4 linked regions of the Saccharomyces cerevisiae S288C genome follow. The protein of the gene in region 1 interacts with the protein of each later gene in a biochemical or structural test. Each region holds a gene or a part of one and is shown in the gene's direction. Other genes may lie near its edges. The genes, in order: ATG8, APE1, CCT2 and ATG40.

Region 1 (3,137 bases):
TTGGGGTACTCCAATTCCTTTATGGGTTTCAGACGATTTTGAGGAGGTCGTCTGTGTTGGTTCTATCAAAGAATTGGAAGAATTGACCGGTGTGCGTAACATCACTGACTTGCATCGTGATGTCATTGACAAATTGACAATTCCATCCAAGCAAGGTAAGGGTGACTTAAAGAGAATTGAAGAAGTTTTTGATTGTTGGTTTGAATCTGGTTCTATGCCTTATGCTTCTCAACATTATCCATTTGAAAACACAGAAAAATTTGACGAAAGAGTTCCAGCTAATTTCATCTCTGAAGGTTTGGATCAAACAAGAGGTTGGTTCTACACGTTAGCTGTCTTAGGTACCCATCTATTTGGCTCTGTTCCATACAAGAACGTCATCGTCTCTGGTATTGTCTTAGCTGCCGATGGTAGAAAGATGTCTAAATCCTTGAAAAATTACCCTGATCCATCCATTGTTCTGAACAAATATGGTGCGGATGCATTAAGATTGTACTTGATAAACTCACCTGTTTTAAAAGCTGAAAGTTTGAAATTCAAAGAAGAGGGTGTTAAGGAGGTTGTTTCAAAGGTCTTACTACCATGGTGGAACTCCTTTAAATTTTTGGACGGTCAAATTGCCTTGTTGAAAAAGATGTCTAACATCGACTTCCAATATGATGATTCTGTGAAAAGTGATAATGTCATGGACAGATGGATTTTAGCTTCTATGCAATCTCTAGTACAATTCATTCACGAAGAAATGGGTCAGTACAAATTATACACTGTCGTTCCAAAACTTTTGAATTTCATTGATGAATTGACAAACTGGTATATTAGATTTAATCGTCGTCGTTTGAAGGGTGAAAACGGTGTTGAGGACTGTTTGAAAGCATTAAATTCTTTATTCGATGCCTTATTCACATTTGTCCGTGCCATGGCTCCATTCACCCCATTTTTGTCAGAAAGCATTTATTTGAGACTGAAGGAATACATCCCAGAAGCTGTCTTAGCAAAATACGGTAAGGACGGAAGATCAGTCCATTTCTTATCTTACCCAGTGGTCAAGAAAGAATACTTTGACGAGGCCATCGAAACTGCAGTTTCTAGAATGCAATCCGTTATCGATTTGGGTAGAAACATTCGTGAAAAGAAAACTATTTCCTTAAAAACTCCATTGAAGACTTTGGTCATCCTTCACAGTGATGAATCATACTTGAAGGATGTAGAAGCCTTGAAAAACTACATTATCGAGGAATTAAATGTTCGTGATGTTGTTATCACCTCCGATGAGGCAAAATATGGTGTTGAGTATAAAGCAGTTGCTGATTGGCCTGTATTGGGTAAGAAGTTGAAAAAAGACGCAAAGAAGGTTAAAGATGCCCTACCATCAGTCACTTCTGAGCAAGTACGGGAATATTTGGAAAGCGGAAAGTTGGAGGTTGCCGGTATTGAACTGGTTAAAGGAGATTTGAATGCTATTAGAGGCTTGCCAGAATCTGCTGTCCAAGCTGGACAAGAAACCAGAACCGACCAAGACGTGTTAATCATCATGGATACAAATATTTACTCTGAACTAAAGAGTGAAGGTCTCGCAAGAGAGCTGGTCAACAGAATCCAAAAATTGAGAAAGAAGTGTGGTTTGGAAGCCACCGACGATGTTTTAGTGGAGTACGAATTAGTTAAAGATACTATCGACTTTGAAGCCATTGTCAAAGAACATTTTGATATGTTAAGCAAGACCTGTAGATCCGACATTGCCAAATATGACGGCTCAAAGACAGACCCAATTGGTGATGAAGAACAATCTATTAATGACACCATTTTCAAATTAAAAGTGTTCAAATTATGAAAACAACTCATATAAATACGTACAAATTTTTCTCTACTCGAAGTGATATAGATGTATATGTGTAAGTTTACGTTTAAGTTAGAGTCATGTAATGCTAACTGTCTCCACCGATAATGTTGTATAATACCCGTGAAATCATAGCACATGATATATCATCACCCGGAGGCCGGTTATTTTCGGCGGCGGCAAAAATATTTGGTATAATTATGGAAATACAAAAAGGGGAACCATTAAAGGTTGAGGAGGGGATTGATAAGAGAATCTAATAATTGTAAAGTTGAGAAAATCATAATAAAATAATTACTAGAGACATGAAGTCTACATTTAAGTCTGAATATCCATTTGAAAAAAGGAAGGCGGAGTCGGAGAGGATTGCTGACAGGTTCAAGAATAGGATACCTGTGATTTGCGAAAAAGCTGAAAAGTCAGATATTCCAGAGATTGATAAGCGTAAATATCTAGTTCCTGCTGACCTTACCGTAGGGCAATTTGTTTATGTTATAAGAAAGAGAATTATGCTACCCCCTGAGAAGGCCATCTTCATTTTTGTCAATGATACTTTGCCACCTACTGCGGCGTTGATGTCTGCCATATATCAAGAACACAAGGATAAGGACGGGTTTTTGTATGTCACTTACTCAGGAGAAAATACATTTGGCAGGTAGTCTTTTATATGAAAAGAAATGAAGCGTTAACATCTAAAATCGAAATTATAGGGACTCATTAGCCATCTATTGTTCCAGTATAAGAATGTTTACATAAAAAATTCGAAAAAAAAAGATAAAATAAGGGAAAAATATATATATATTCATTAAGAAGTTTTGTACACAACGGAGCCAAGATTTCACCAGTATTTGGAGACAAATGTGAGCACGTTATGGTATTTACTTACAGATTACGATCTGTTCAATGCATCAGAAATAGGAAGAAATTCAAAATAAAATAAAAAAAATATTAGGAAGGAGTGAAAAAGCAAATAAGATGATACAGTAAGGTGGAGTTAATGTCTTTCTTCTCCAAAATGTATTCTTGCTAACCAAAAATCTGATTCTCTCTGACCTGTTCGTTTGTCTTATGTATGTAGAATCAATTTCTTACAGAATTTTAAATACTGTATAGTGGAAAAGAATAATAAATAAATACTCGACTATATTTACCTTTATCTTAAGGAAAAGTTCACTCGATATTCTTAACTTTACCGTCTAGTAAGGCCTCTTTATTACATTAAAATATACACGTACATTACCCTGCTATCTATATGTCGAACATGAATTTTTATTCTTTGTAGAAACAAATCCCCAAATTA
Region 2 (4,556 bases), on another chromosome or scaffold:
TGTTATCCTTTCTCATTTTCCTCAGCACTTTATTAACTGGGAGATCATCATATTTTTTGATCAGAGGATGCTTCAATATCTCTTGAGTGGTAATTCTTTTTTCTGGATCAATTACCAATATTTTTGATATCAAATCACGAGCCTCAGAAGATAAATTTGAGGGCATTTGATATTTGCCCGATTGAACTTTCAACAACAGCTTTTTGATGTTGTCATCATTAAATGGTAAATGACCGGTGAGTAATGCAAATAAAACGATACCGCAGGACCAGACATCGCTAGGACCGCCATGATATGGTCTACCCATAACAATTTCAGGAGACGCATAGTGTGGAGAGCCACATGAAGTTTTTAAAAGTTTATTAGGAAGCTCTAATGCTGCCATGCCGAAATCAGCAATTTTGATTCTCCTATTCTTTTTATCTAATAATAAATTTTCAGGCTTCAGATCACGATGGCATATATTAAAAGAATGACAATAGGAAACACCTTCAACTATCTGCTTGAAGTAATGGATAGCCTCCCTTTCAGGTAGCTTTCCCTTCGAGACCAGATAATCGAATAATTCGCCACCATCAACATATTCCAAAACTAGGTACAGCTCTGATTTGTTCTCCCAAACTTCAAACAATGCCATAACGTTTGTGTGAGATATCAATTTCATGATTACTATTTCTCTCTCTATGCCATATGGGTTCGTTTGAGAATGGTTACTATGTTCTCTAGATGCTATTGATGGAGAAGATACATTGGAAGTGACCATGGAAGAAGAGTAAGAATTAGGAACAGTTCCATTATTAGAACAATGAACAAAGGCTTTCTTCTTGGGGACAATTTTAATGGCAGCTAATTGTCCTGTTTCCATATTTTTAGCCAAGCGAACCCTACCAGAAGATCCCTTCCCCAATGTTTTGCCAAGTTTCCAAGGACCCACCGTGTCTCTGGATTTTCTCTTTGATGATTTTGTAGCAACACTTACGGTAGAGTCGGGCTGAGATAATCTTTTGGTAGCGTCGTTCACAGATTGTACAACACGCTCCAAATGCCCCGACGCCCTTTTTGGATTCGAATTTACTTTGGCCATGGCCCTTTTAGCTGCCTTCTTGGCCAATGAAGACGGGCGACCTTTGGGTACGTGGCTCGTTTTTGAAACGTGACCAGTCATGTCGTGTGGTAAAAATAAAAAATATTAATAACAAATAATAAAGGAGTGAATATAGTTGGTTGTTGATTTATTTATCAGTATTTTTTGTCCCGCAAATCTATGTCGTTCTTTTTACCTTGTCTTTCTTGTAATTTTATTATTTATCTCTTTTCGCGATTAGTAGCAAGTAGTATGATGGATATCCAACCTATTTGATGATCTATTTGAGTTCAACTCTCTGTTTTAATGGCCTCTCGCTGTCCAATTTACGTCCTTGCAGTCGGATAACTAGCGAACTTACGATCCAAAGGGAGTTTTAAGAAGAAACAGGTTTCGAGCAAAAGGTAACTTGCTTATATTAAGAACGCCAATAAGAGTGGCCACTATAATGCTGCTCCCAGCCGGTACAAGACGGTACGGTACGTGATGGAGATTAGTTTTCACTATTTAGCCCAAACAACCCAACGCGAAAATGACCACGCGAAAAGAAAAATTAGTAAAAATATTTCACAACGCGAAAAATAAGGACGAAGGCAACACATTCCACCTTCCCTGTTATTGTAAAACGCACAAATGTGTGCTTTATTCGCTGAGGTTTCATCGACAGCTGCAGCCAGTTGTTCATTCGGTGTTCTCTTGTGCAGCGGCTCAAATTGTGGCAGGCTTGTAGGCTCCGAACGCCGTAAGGTACTTTATGTTTTTAATGTCAACGTTTGCAAGAAAATGTCATCCTATTACTTTCTGAGGCATGATAACATTGTAATCCCTTATCTCTTGCGCTTGTTGGTATCAGATAAAGAAGCATCAAACAAGAACCCACTCCTTCCTTTTCTCATGGATAAAGAGAGGTCGCACCATTTCGTGAGGAATATGAATTAGTCAGCTTCTACTTTAGGGTATAGGTTGCAAACTTCCGTTTTTCTCAAGGTTTAATCAGAAGCATAATAGGTCTTCGGATGATTTCTTGTCTAATTCAAAAAAAAAATAATCTGGGATAGGTTTTTCGGGAAAAACAACTAGGGGTGATGCTGTTTTGCACCTCTATTACTGTAAGATAGGCTATGCAAGCAAACGACAGTAAGAAAGAATAGGGTTAAGTGAAATAGTTGACACACCCCTTAATCGTTCCATTAGATAATAAAAATTCATTTATAAGCAGTTGACTTCACAGAACAAGACATACACTGTATAGAGCCTGATCAGTAATCTTAGTGCAATTGTAGAAACCTGCACAACCAACAAAATTAAGAAAAAAAGAATGGAGGAACAACGTGAAATACTGGAACAATTGAAGAAAACTCTGCAGATGCTAACTGTAGAGCCATCTAAAAATAACCAAATCGCCAACGAAGAAAAGGAAAAGAAAGAAAATGAAAATTCGTGGTGCATCCTCGAGCACAATTATGAGGATATTGCACAGGAATTCATTGATTTCATTTACAAGAACCCTACCACTTACCATGTAGTATCATTTTTCGCGGAGCTGTTAGATAAGCATAACTTCAAATACTTGAGCGAGAAATCCAATTGGCAGGACTCCATTGGCGAAGATGGTGGGAAATTCTACACTATAAGAAATGGAACTAACCTATCTGCCTTTATCCTGGGCAAAAACTGGAGAGCCGAAAAGGGTGTCGGTGTCATTGGATCTCATGTGGACGCTTTGACGGTCAAATTGAAGCCCGTCTCCTTTAAAGACACAGCGGAAGGTTACGGAAGAATTGCTGTTGCTCCCTATGGAGGTACACTGAATGAATTGTGGCTAGACAGAGACCTAGGTATTGGTGGTCGCCTTCTTTACAAGAAGAAGGGCACTAACGAAATTAAAAGCGCCTTGGTTGATTCTACACCCCTACCTGTTTGTCGAATTCCTTCCTTGGCTCCCCATTTCGGTAAACCTGCTGAAGGCCCATTTGATAAAGAGGACCAAACTATCCCGGTCATCGGCTTCCCCACTCCGGATGAGGAAGGTAATGAACCTCCCACGGATGATGAAAAGAAATCGCCCTTATTTGGCAAACACTGCATCCACCTGTTAAGGTACGTTGCCAAATTAGCCGGTGTGGAAGTGTCCGAATTGATTCAAATGGATTTAGACTTATTCGATGTGCAAAAGGGTACCATTGGAGGTATTGGTAAACACTTCCTTTTTGCACCACGTCTAGATGACAGGTTGTGTAGTTTCGCAGCAATGATTGCTTTGATTTGCTACGCTAAGGATGTTAATACCGAGGAATCAGATTTATTCTCTACTGTCACTTTGTATGATAATGAAGAAATCGGATCGTTGACAAGACAAGGCGCAAAAGGTGGCTTGTTGGAGTCAGTGGTGGAACGCAGTTCTTCTGCATTCACTAAGAAACCGGTCGATTTGCATACGGTTTGGGCTAATTCCATCATCTTGTCCGCAGACGTCAACCACCTCTACAACCCAAACTTTCCTGAAGTCTATTTGAAGAATCATTTTCCAGTGCCTAATGTCGGAATCACTTTATCACTGGATCCTAACGGTCATATGGCCACAGATGTCGTAGGAACTGCCCTAGTAGAAGAATTAGCACGCCGCAATGGAGACAAAGTGCAATATTTCCAAATCAAAAACAACTCAAGATCAGGTGGTACTATCGGCCCATCATTGGCTTCTCAAACAGGTGCTCGTACCATAGACCTGGGAATTGCACAGTTGTCCATGCACAGCATCAGAGCTGCTACAGGGTCCAAGGATGTCGGATTAGGTGTTAAGTTCTTCAACGGATTTTTCAAGCACTGGAGATCAGTCTACGATGAATTCGGCGAGTTGTGATTTTGCCACACTCTTTTTATTTCTTTTGATTTCTGTTTCTTTATCCTTTTTCTAAAAATACTTTTATTTCGAATCAGGAAGAAAAGAAAAATGTATAAAAAAAAAAAAATAAAACACCACAATCGTCAAGATATAAATATCTATTTATAAATAAAACATCAAAAATACCTAAACCCCAAACATTCTACTAGGAAAGAATATTAACAGTAACCACGAACTATAAAAAATGCATTTGAACACCAATGTGGGCCTTGACAGCCGTATTAGATGAAACAAACCACATACTTTTCTTGATTAGCCAAGCATTCTTTCTTTTGTGACGCCGTCGATCACTCAAATATCAATCCGGGTAACGCGCGGCTCCCTACATTTTCTTCGATTTTTATCTTTTTTTCACAAATCGAAAACATTAGACTTCCTCTTTGGGAAATCGGATGCATTTTAGCGTTTCTGAGGCGACTTTTCCTCTTCTTAAAATATTTATTTAGTGTCTTACATTCGACCCTTTTCGCCTTTCTGCTTTATTTTTGGAACACGTACTTCTTTTCGCTTACAAGAAAGCATTCTCAGTCATCCATCACACTTATTTTCACTGCAAAGTTACAGAAC
Region 3 (4,262 bases), on another chromosome or scaffold:
CTACGGAACATTGCGGCGGGCACCACATGAACTTCGTCAAGAATAATGAACCCCCATTCCCTACCGGTCAAGAAATCCATAACTTTTTGTGAATCATGAGACCTGTTTCTTGTGTTTGCCACCATTGAATAAGTGGAAACAACCAAACCGGATTCTGTCTGGAACATTTCCTTATTATCAGAGGTGAAAACAGCACAATTTTCAGGTTGTAAGGTACACCATTGTAAAAATTGCTGCCTCCATTGCATGACGGAGACTGATGAAGTACATAAAACAATTACGGATTTTTTTATAGTACATGCTGCGGTAATACCGACCAAAGTTTTACCTGCGCCACATGGCAAAACAATAATCCCTGAACGAGCACGCCCATTACCAAACATTTTACTCAGCGATTTTTCTTGATAGGGTCTGATTTGAGTGGAAGGTTTCAAATCAATATCTAAATCCGGGTTTCTATGGTCGTTTCTAAAGTCGTATTCTTCCAACACGGGATAATCGATTTCTTGACATCTTTTCTTTACGACTTCAACAGACTCATTGGCAATTTCAAAGGAGTGAACGGCATCAATATCATCATCTTCTTCTTCCCGCTCATTATCACCACCTATAACTGCACTAAACACGGCTTCCACATCGTTCGGATTAACATTAGTAGCGGGTTTTCCAGCGGTTTGCTGAAGTTGTTGCTGTAGTACATCCTCTGGTGGCTGTACTTGATGATCGCTATCTATTCTTAGGGGCCCGATGACGGAATCATTCAGCAACATTTGCAGAATATCTGCTTGTGTAGTCTCCACGAAATATCTATTATGCTTAATAACTAGTTTCACTTTACCGTATGAAATGGTAGCCCCTTTAATGAAGTTGATTATCGATTCAGCAACGGGTACTTTGGATAATCTATCCAGAACTGAAATGATATCATCCGTCTCCAACCCTACAGAAACAGCTGCATACAAAGAGTATGCTGTGATCTTGTATTCATGAATATGGGAGGGTCTACTTATAGGCTCTGCAATGGTGACCAGAAAGTCCTGAGCCTGTTCTGCTAATGGAGAGAAACTCTCCAGAATGATCCTACCGTCACTTGGCGAGATCCAAAGGGGCCTGGAAGCATGGTCTGGTCTTAACCGCAAATAACTAAAGTCATGGCTTCTGAACATTCCAGAGACGGAATCTGGAACGAAATCTGCTGGTATATCGCTATTAGTGTCCTGCAAAAGCGCTTTATCCTTAGCGTCCATTTGATTCATAGAGGAATCCGCCGCTGTATGCCTGCTACTCTTGGTCTTTTTCCGAGGCTTCTTCAACCCTGTTACCATGGCGCCGGTATCCCTTTCTCCACGTCCTTCTGACGTTTCCCTGTTATCATCATAGTTCTCATCGATCTCTGCATCAGTAGCTGGTGAATCCTCATCTGATGAGAAAAAGGACTCACCCATATCTGGAAAGATTTTCCCCTTGCTCTTAGGTTGGTAGCCTTCAACGTCCGTCATGATTTATCTTCCACTGATTCCAACGTCAGTAGATGCTACTTTTACTAAATAATGTAGATATCATTACTATTATCTATCCTTACTAAGGACCTTTTTCCTTATACTTCTTAGAAGAAAAACCTCGTTTCTAACGATCTGAAATTTTTTTCTCTTCGCGGTGGCGAGTTTAAAAGACAAGAGCAGAGCAATAAAAAAGAGGATGAAAGGTGGCCATTAAATAGGCAAGAAGAGTCAGTCGTACAAAGCTCAAAAGATTCAGGATGAGTGTACAGATATTTGGAGACCAGGTTACAGAAGAAAGAGCGGAAAACGCCCGTTTGTCGGCGTTTGTCGGTGCCATTGCCGTGGGTGATTTGGTGAAAAGCACATTAGGCCCAAAAGGGATGGATAAATTATTGCAAAGTGCGTCCAGTAACACTTGCATGGTAACAAACGATGGTGCTACGATTCTGAAGTCAATTCCGCTGGATAATCCCGCAGCCAAAGTGTTGGTGAACATCAGTAAGGTGCAGGATGACGAAGTTGGAGATGGTACCACTAGTGTTACTGTTTTGAGCGCAGAGTTGCTTAGAGAAGCAGAGAAGTTGATTGATCAATCCAAAATCCACCCTCAAACTATTATTGAAGGTTACCGACTAGCTTCAGCAGCCGCATTGGATGCGTTAACGAAAGCGGCTGTTGACAACTCTCATGATAAGACCATGTTCCGTGAAGATCTGATCCATATTGCCAAGACTACTTTATCTTCCAAAATTTTGTCTCAGGATAAGGATCACTTCGCAGAATTAGCAACTAATGCTATTTTGAGATTGAAGGGCTCCACTAACTTAGAACATATTCAGATCATTAAGATTCTTGGTGGAAAGCTATCAGATTCGTTCCTTGACGAAGGTTTCATTCTTGCCAAAAAATTTGGTAACAACCAACCCAAGAGAATTGAAAATGCTAAGATTCTAATCGCCAATACAACTTTGGATACAGACAAGGTCAAAATATTCGGCACCAAATTCAAAGTCGATTCTACTGCTAAATTGGCACAACTAGAAAAGGCAGAACGTGAAAAGATGAAGAATAAAATTGCCAAGATTTCCAAGTTTGGTATCAACACTTTCATCAATAGACAACTAATTTATGACTATCCAGAGCAATTATTTACAGATTTGGGCATAAACTCAATTGAGCATGCTGATTTTGAAGGTGTAGAAAGGCTCGCCCTGGTTACAGGCGGTGAGGTGGTGTCTACATTTGACGAGCCAAGTAAATGCAAACTGGGAGAATGTGACGTGATCGAGGAAATTATGCTTGGTGAACAGCCATTCTTGAAGTTTAGTGGTTGCAAAGCTGGTGAAGCTTGTACCATCGTCCTAAGAGGTGCTACCGACCAAACGCTTGATGAAGCTGAGAGATCCCTGCATGACGCATTGTCCGTGTTGTCACAGACCACAAAGGAAACAAGAACTGTTCTTGGCGGCGGTTGCGCCGAGATGGTCATGTCAAAAGCTGTGGACACCGAAGCTCAAAACATCGACGGAAAGAAGTCCCTTGCCGTGGAGGCTTTTGCCCGTGCTCTGAGACAACTGCCAACCATTTTGGCAGATAATGCTGGTTTTGACAGCAGCGAACTTGTGTCCAAACTAAGATCCTCCATATACAACGGTATCTCCACCTCAGGTTTAGATCTCAACAACGGAACCATTGCCGACATGAGACAGTTAGGTATCGTCGAGAGTTACAAGCTAAAACGAGCAGTAGTCAGCTCTGCATCTGAAGCCGCTGAAGTTCTACTAAGGGTGGATAACATCATCCGTGCAAGACCAAGAACCGCCAATAGACAACATATGTAACATATTTAGGATATACCTCGAAAATAATAAACCGCCACACTGTCATTATTATAATTAGAAACAGAACGCAAAAATTATCCACTATATAATTCAAAGACGCGAAAAAAAAAGAACAACGCGTCATAGAACTTTTGGCAATTCGCGTCACAAATAAATTTTGGCAACTTATGTTTCCTCTTCGAGCAGTACTCGAGCCCTGTCTCAAGAATGTAATAATACCCATCGTAGGTATGGTTAAAGATAGCATCTCCACAACCTCAAAGCTCCTTGCCGAGAGTCGCCCTCCTTTGTCGAGTAATTTTCACTTTTCATATGAGAACTTATTTTCTTATTCTTTACTCTCACATCCTGTAGTGATTGACACTGCAACAGCCACCATCACTAGAAGAACAGAACAATTACTTAATAGAAAAATTATATCTTCCTCGAAACGATTTCCTGCTTCCAACATCTACGTATATCAAGAAGCATTCACTTACCATGACACAGCTTCAGATTTCATTATTGCTGACAGCTACTATATCACTACTCCATCTAGTAGTGGCCACGCCCTATGAGGCATATCCTATCGGAAAACAATACCCCCCAGTGGCAAGAGTCAATGAATCGTTTACATTTCAAATTTCCAATGATACCTATAAATCGTCTGTAGACAAGACAGCTCAAATAACATACAATTGCTTCGACTTACCGAGCTGGCTTTCGTTTGACTCTAGTTCTAGAACGTTCTCAGGTGAACCTTCTTCTGACTTACTATCTGATGCGAACACCACGTTGTATTTCAATGTAATACTCGAGGGTACGGACTCTGCCGACAGCACGTCTTTGAACAATACATACCAATTTGTTGTTACAAACCGTCCATCCATCTCGCTATCGTCAGATTTCAATCTATTGGCGTTGTTAAAAAACTATGGTT
Region 4 (3,520 bases), on another chromosome or scaffold:
ATTGGTTTCTTTAGAACGTTGAAACTTTCTCAGCCCACTTTTTAGGATTTTGTATGGAATATTAACCACAGTTGACTGATAGGCGACATCTGCGGAAGCACCAGAAGCACTTAAGTTCTTCCAAGCGCAACCTAAGGAATAAGGCTTATAAAAGTCAGGGTCTGCCGCACTTAGGTGAGCCATATTCTTAACCCAGGCGGCACTAGAAAAATTTTCGGAGTTGGGGTCCAATTTTGGGTCATAGCCTGGAGCTTCAGGATCAGAGAATATCGGGTTTACACCTTCCACACCGCTAGAAAATATAGACTGAGCATCACTTTTGTTGGGTGCCGATTGAGTGGAGTTTTGCATACTCTGTGCGGTCAGAGTCCTTGCCAGTTTTTGGATTCGAGCTTCTGTATGCTCATCGAACCCATTATAATTGTGTAGATCAGCAGCGTTTTCAGTAGAAGAAGACGCGGAGGAGTAGCTAGTAACGTCGTTGACGTTATTGTTAAGCTTGGCCTCGGGCATTTTTGTCTAAAGTCTTTCGAACGAGCGGATACGAAAACTTAAAAGGGTCTTTAATTTCTTTTTCGAAAGTTCCTAGTTGCCAATTTATTTATAATTAGAATAACAAAGTCGAGTGATAACTAACACAGTTGTTATATGTTTGCAACTTTGCGTGACTTTTTTCTTTTGGATTTCATTCTAAGGTATGATAATAAAAGCGAACAGCCATAAGGTTATGCACATCACAATTATATATGTATAGGAGAGGCCTTGTTTGTATTGCTCAGATTACGTTCAACAGATATCGTACCACGGCGTAGAAGAGTTCCGCGGAGACATTTCTCTTTTTTTAGCACATTACCATAAGTAGGAATACAGATCTGACCTTTCCACGGAATCACGAGTCCAAAGGGTGCTGAATCGTGATCACGACCCGCGGGTGAGCCCACACTCACCGGAGTCTTAGTAAATCTGAAAATGTTGTGGCACCGCGGCATGAGCGATTCCGCGGAAAGAGAGGGGCAGTCTTAAGTTTCAGTCCACTCGTTCCGTGGGAAGCAATCGACCGAATGGTTCTCCACGGACGTTTTCTCGGCGGCAAGGTTGTGTCGTGATAATCGTTGCATAGATGTGATGGCTTCCTGCAACTTATCCTGTGCTCGAAGGCGCAGAATGCGAACGTTCGCGCTGAGGAACGTTCATGTTCTTTTATTAGTAAGATCATACGTGTGGTGTTGTTTTCCATTGAGTTCCACTCCTGATTGTGTGAAGTGATAAATGTTGTGTACTATGTAAGGGACTGCGCCAACGAGGTGCTGCTTTCTATTATGGCAAATTGTTGCGAGTATGGCTTAATTGTTTATTGTAATAGGTAATTTGATGTTCTTTTTTTTCTTTGATTTGAACTTTTGTTCTCTCTCTCAACTTTTTCTTTTCTTTGTCCTTGTTGATTAGATTGTGACGATAATTTCCTTATAATATCATTGTTGGAATCAAAGAGGAAGACATATTTACGTTAACGAACAAGTTCAGTGAACCATCTAAACATAGAAAGGGGTCCCAGAGAACGCTTCCTTTGTATGATATCTGAAATTTGTCTACTGCATTCAGGCTTATATATATGTGTGTGGTAGCGCCCAACGGAGAACCGTATATGACGGACTTTACTGTGTCACATTTCAGAAAAACAATAAGTGTTTTTCCCTTCCGTAAATAGCACATATTCATTCCTATATCGCCTCTCTGTTTTATGCTCTTTTTTCCCGGGCATTTATTATTACCCGGTATTTCCAAAGATGCGGTTACTGCCCGCGGGTATTGGGCCTCCCTTAATATGCATCGATTTTACTGTTTAAAATCGTACAAAAGATAATATGTGGAAACAACTTTCCTAAGCAGCGAAATACACGTGCAAGAGCAACGTTATATCATTTCGATTTCATTTAATTTGATCTGGCTCGACATTAGTATTTCAAATCGAGGATAAGATTTTTGTAGTGCTCTTTTTTTCTATCTTTTAGCTAAGGTTCCTAACGTTCTTTCTGCTGTGCTTCACTCCACCATAGAAAACTAATGTTTAATTTAATTTTATGGCCCTTATTTTTGCTTACCTCAGTTGCCATTCCTTTGCAGCTGACATTAGAAGTGGTCTATCTGACGTCTTCCGTTGACTTCTCAAAGGCAAGTGCTGCTAAAACCGCTACTTCTTTGGGTCAGTCCCCAGTTGTCATCACCATTTATAAATCACTGTTAAAATATTGGAGTCTTTACGAGTTCATACATTTTATTTACCTCTATACTCCTATTGATGCCTTTCTGAATTTCTTACCATTTACCTCTTTACTTATGTCGTTTGGAAGTATTTGCTTGACAAGAGAGCTGGTATATGACTTCATTGCCTTTATGGAATCTCAAAACAAGCTTACCGGATTCCTTAATAAGATAACAGAACCGAATTTTAACAGTTATTTACTGTTTTCTTCAATTTATAACATTTGGTTTGCAGATGACACCAATGACAAATTCTTATTCGGTAAATTAACTCAGATTTTAATATCTGTAACAAAAAGGTACGAATTTCCAAGAACATTCTACTTAGCAAAAGTTTCTGATTTCCTACAAAATCTCATTCTAACGAGATTGAGACCCTTTGTAACGGAGCAACCCCAAGGCGACAAAAATCGCTATCAAAACGGTGACCGTGAATCTACAAAGAATGGAGCTGCTTATCAGAAGTCTTCACAACAATCATCGTCTTTCGAACAAAATTTTACCAGCACTGAGTTCCCGAATGATTATGATTTTATGGAGGATATTCTAGATGAGACAACTGAATTGGATTAGAATAGTTTTTCCATTTTACCATAATGGTAGTCTATGAAGGTACCTAATTTTTCATAGACACAAAACAAAGTTCAGGCGACGAAACACAAAAATCGCCATATATATTTACGCATATGTATGCATTCTAGGAAACAGAAAAAAATAAATAATATAGTTCCTTCTTGTGACTTCCTCTCCAACCCGCCGCATAATCGTCGGCATGGTTAAACATGCTGTATCGGCTATTAAGGAAAGAAAGTATACATAAAAGAATGAAATAAAGTTGTCCAAATGGTGAAGAATTTAAAAAAATGCTACTTCGAGCTGCTACTATGAGTTTATAGGCTGAACATAGCATATAGCATTTCATAACTGCACTATAATTGAGGTTTCTCTGTTTTAAAAGCATAATCCCAAATAATTCTGAGTTGACAAAATAGCGGCCATCTTAAAATAATTTGTTACCCTGCTTGGCGTTCAAAATGATTTTTCACTTTTCTATTTTTTTTCATCCTCTCACTTTCGTAGTAGCTTTTGAAAAAGTGGCGAACAAACAAGAAGTGAGTTGTAATTCATGCAATAAGGAACTGACCACTACTTTTAGCAACCATAAAAGCTAGTGATTTGTCTAAGTAGGGAGCAGCTTTATAAAGTTAGGGTACTTGGATATTGCACTCATTCCTTCTCCTCAGGTTTACAGATAGTT

What was found.
Region 2: the proteins of ATG8 (region 1) and APE1 form a complex in vitro, tested with the Saccharomyces cerevisiae proteins (one study listed by BioGRID).
Region 3: the proteins of ATG8 (region 1) and CCT2 form a complex in vitro, tested with the Saccharomyces cerevisiae proteins (one study listed by BioGRID).
Region 4: the proteins of ATG8 (region 1) and ATG40 are reported together in a solved structure, tested with the Saccharomyces cerevisiae proteins (2 studies listed by BioGRID, with this or other methods).

Annotation. Positions count from the first base shown.
Region 1 is NC_001134.8:79,737-82,873, reverse strand, and holds ATG8 (ubiquitin-like protein ATG8), read left to right. Parts: upstream 1-2,142; coding exon 2,143-2,496; downstream 2,497-3,137. Other genes in the region: isoleucine--tRNA ligase ILS1, read left to right, coding at 1-1,831; NUP170 (Nup170p), read right to left, coding at 3,107-3,137.
Region 2 is NC_001143.9:245,529-250,084, reverse strand, and holds APE1 (metalloaminopeptidase APE1), read left to right. Parts: upstream 1-2,402; coding exon 2,403-3,947; downstream 3,948-4,556. Other genes in the region: protein kinase HSL1, read right to left, coding at 1-1,165; YKL102C (uncharacterized protein), read left to right, coding at 1,718-2,023. UniProt on the Saccharomyces cerevisiae protein: Resident vacuolar enzyme that catalyzes the removal of amino acids from the N-terminus of peptides and proteins. Also acts as the major cargo protein of the cytoplasm-to-vacuole targeting (Cvt) pathway.
Region 3 is NC_001141.2:81,543-85,804, forward strand, and holds CCT2 (chaperonin-containing T-complex subunit CCT2), read left to right. Parts: upstream 1-1,759; coding exon 1,760-3,343; downstream 3,344-4,262. Other genes in the region: TFIIH/NER complex ATPase/helicase subunit SSL2, read right to left, coding at 1-1,499; AXL2 (Axl2p), read left to right, coding at 3,824-4,262. UniProt on the Saccharomyces cerevisiae protein: Molecular chaperone; assists the folding of proteins upon ATP hydrolysis. Known to play a role, in vitro, in the folding of actin and tubulin. In yeast may play a role in mitotic spindle formation.
Region 4 is NC_001147.6:616,833-620,352, reverse strand, and holds ATG40 (Atg40p), read left to right. Parts: upstream 1-2,064; coding exon 2,065-2,835; downstream 2,836-3,520. Other genes in the region: ATP-binding cassette multidrug transporter PDR5, read right to left, coding at 1-513. UniProt on the Saccharomyces cerevisiae protein: Acts as a receptor for reticulophagy. Directs autophagic sequestration of folded tubules/sheets derived from the cortical endoplasmic reticulum (cER) and the cytoplasmic endoplasmic reticulum (cytoER) into autophagosomes.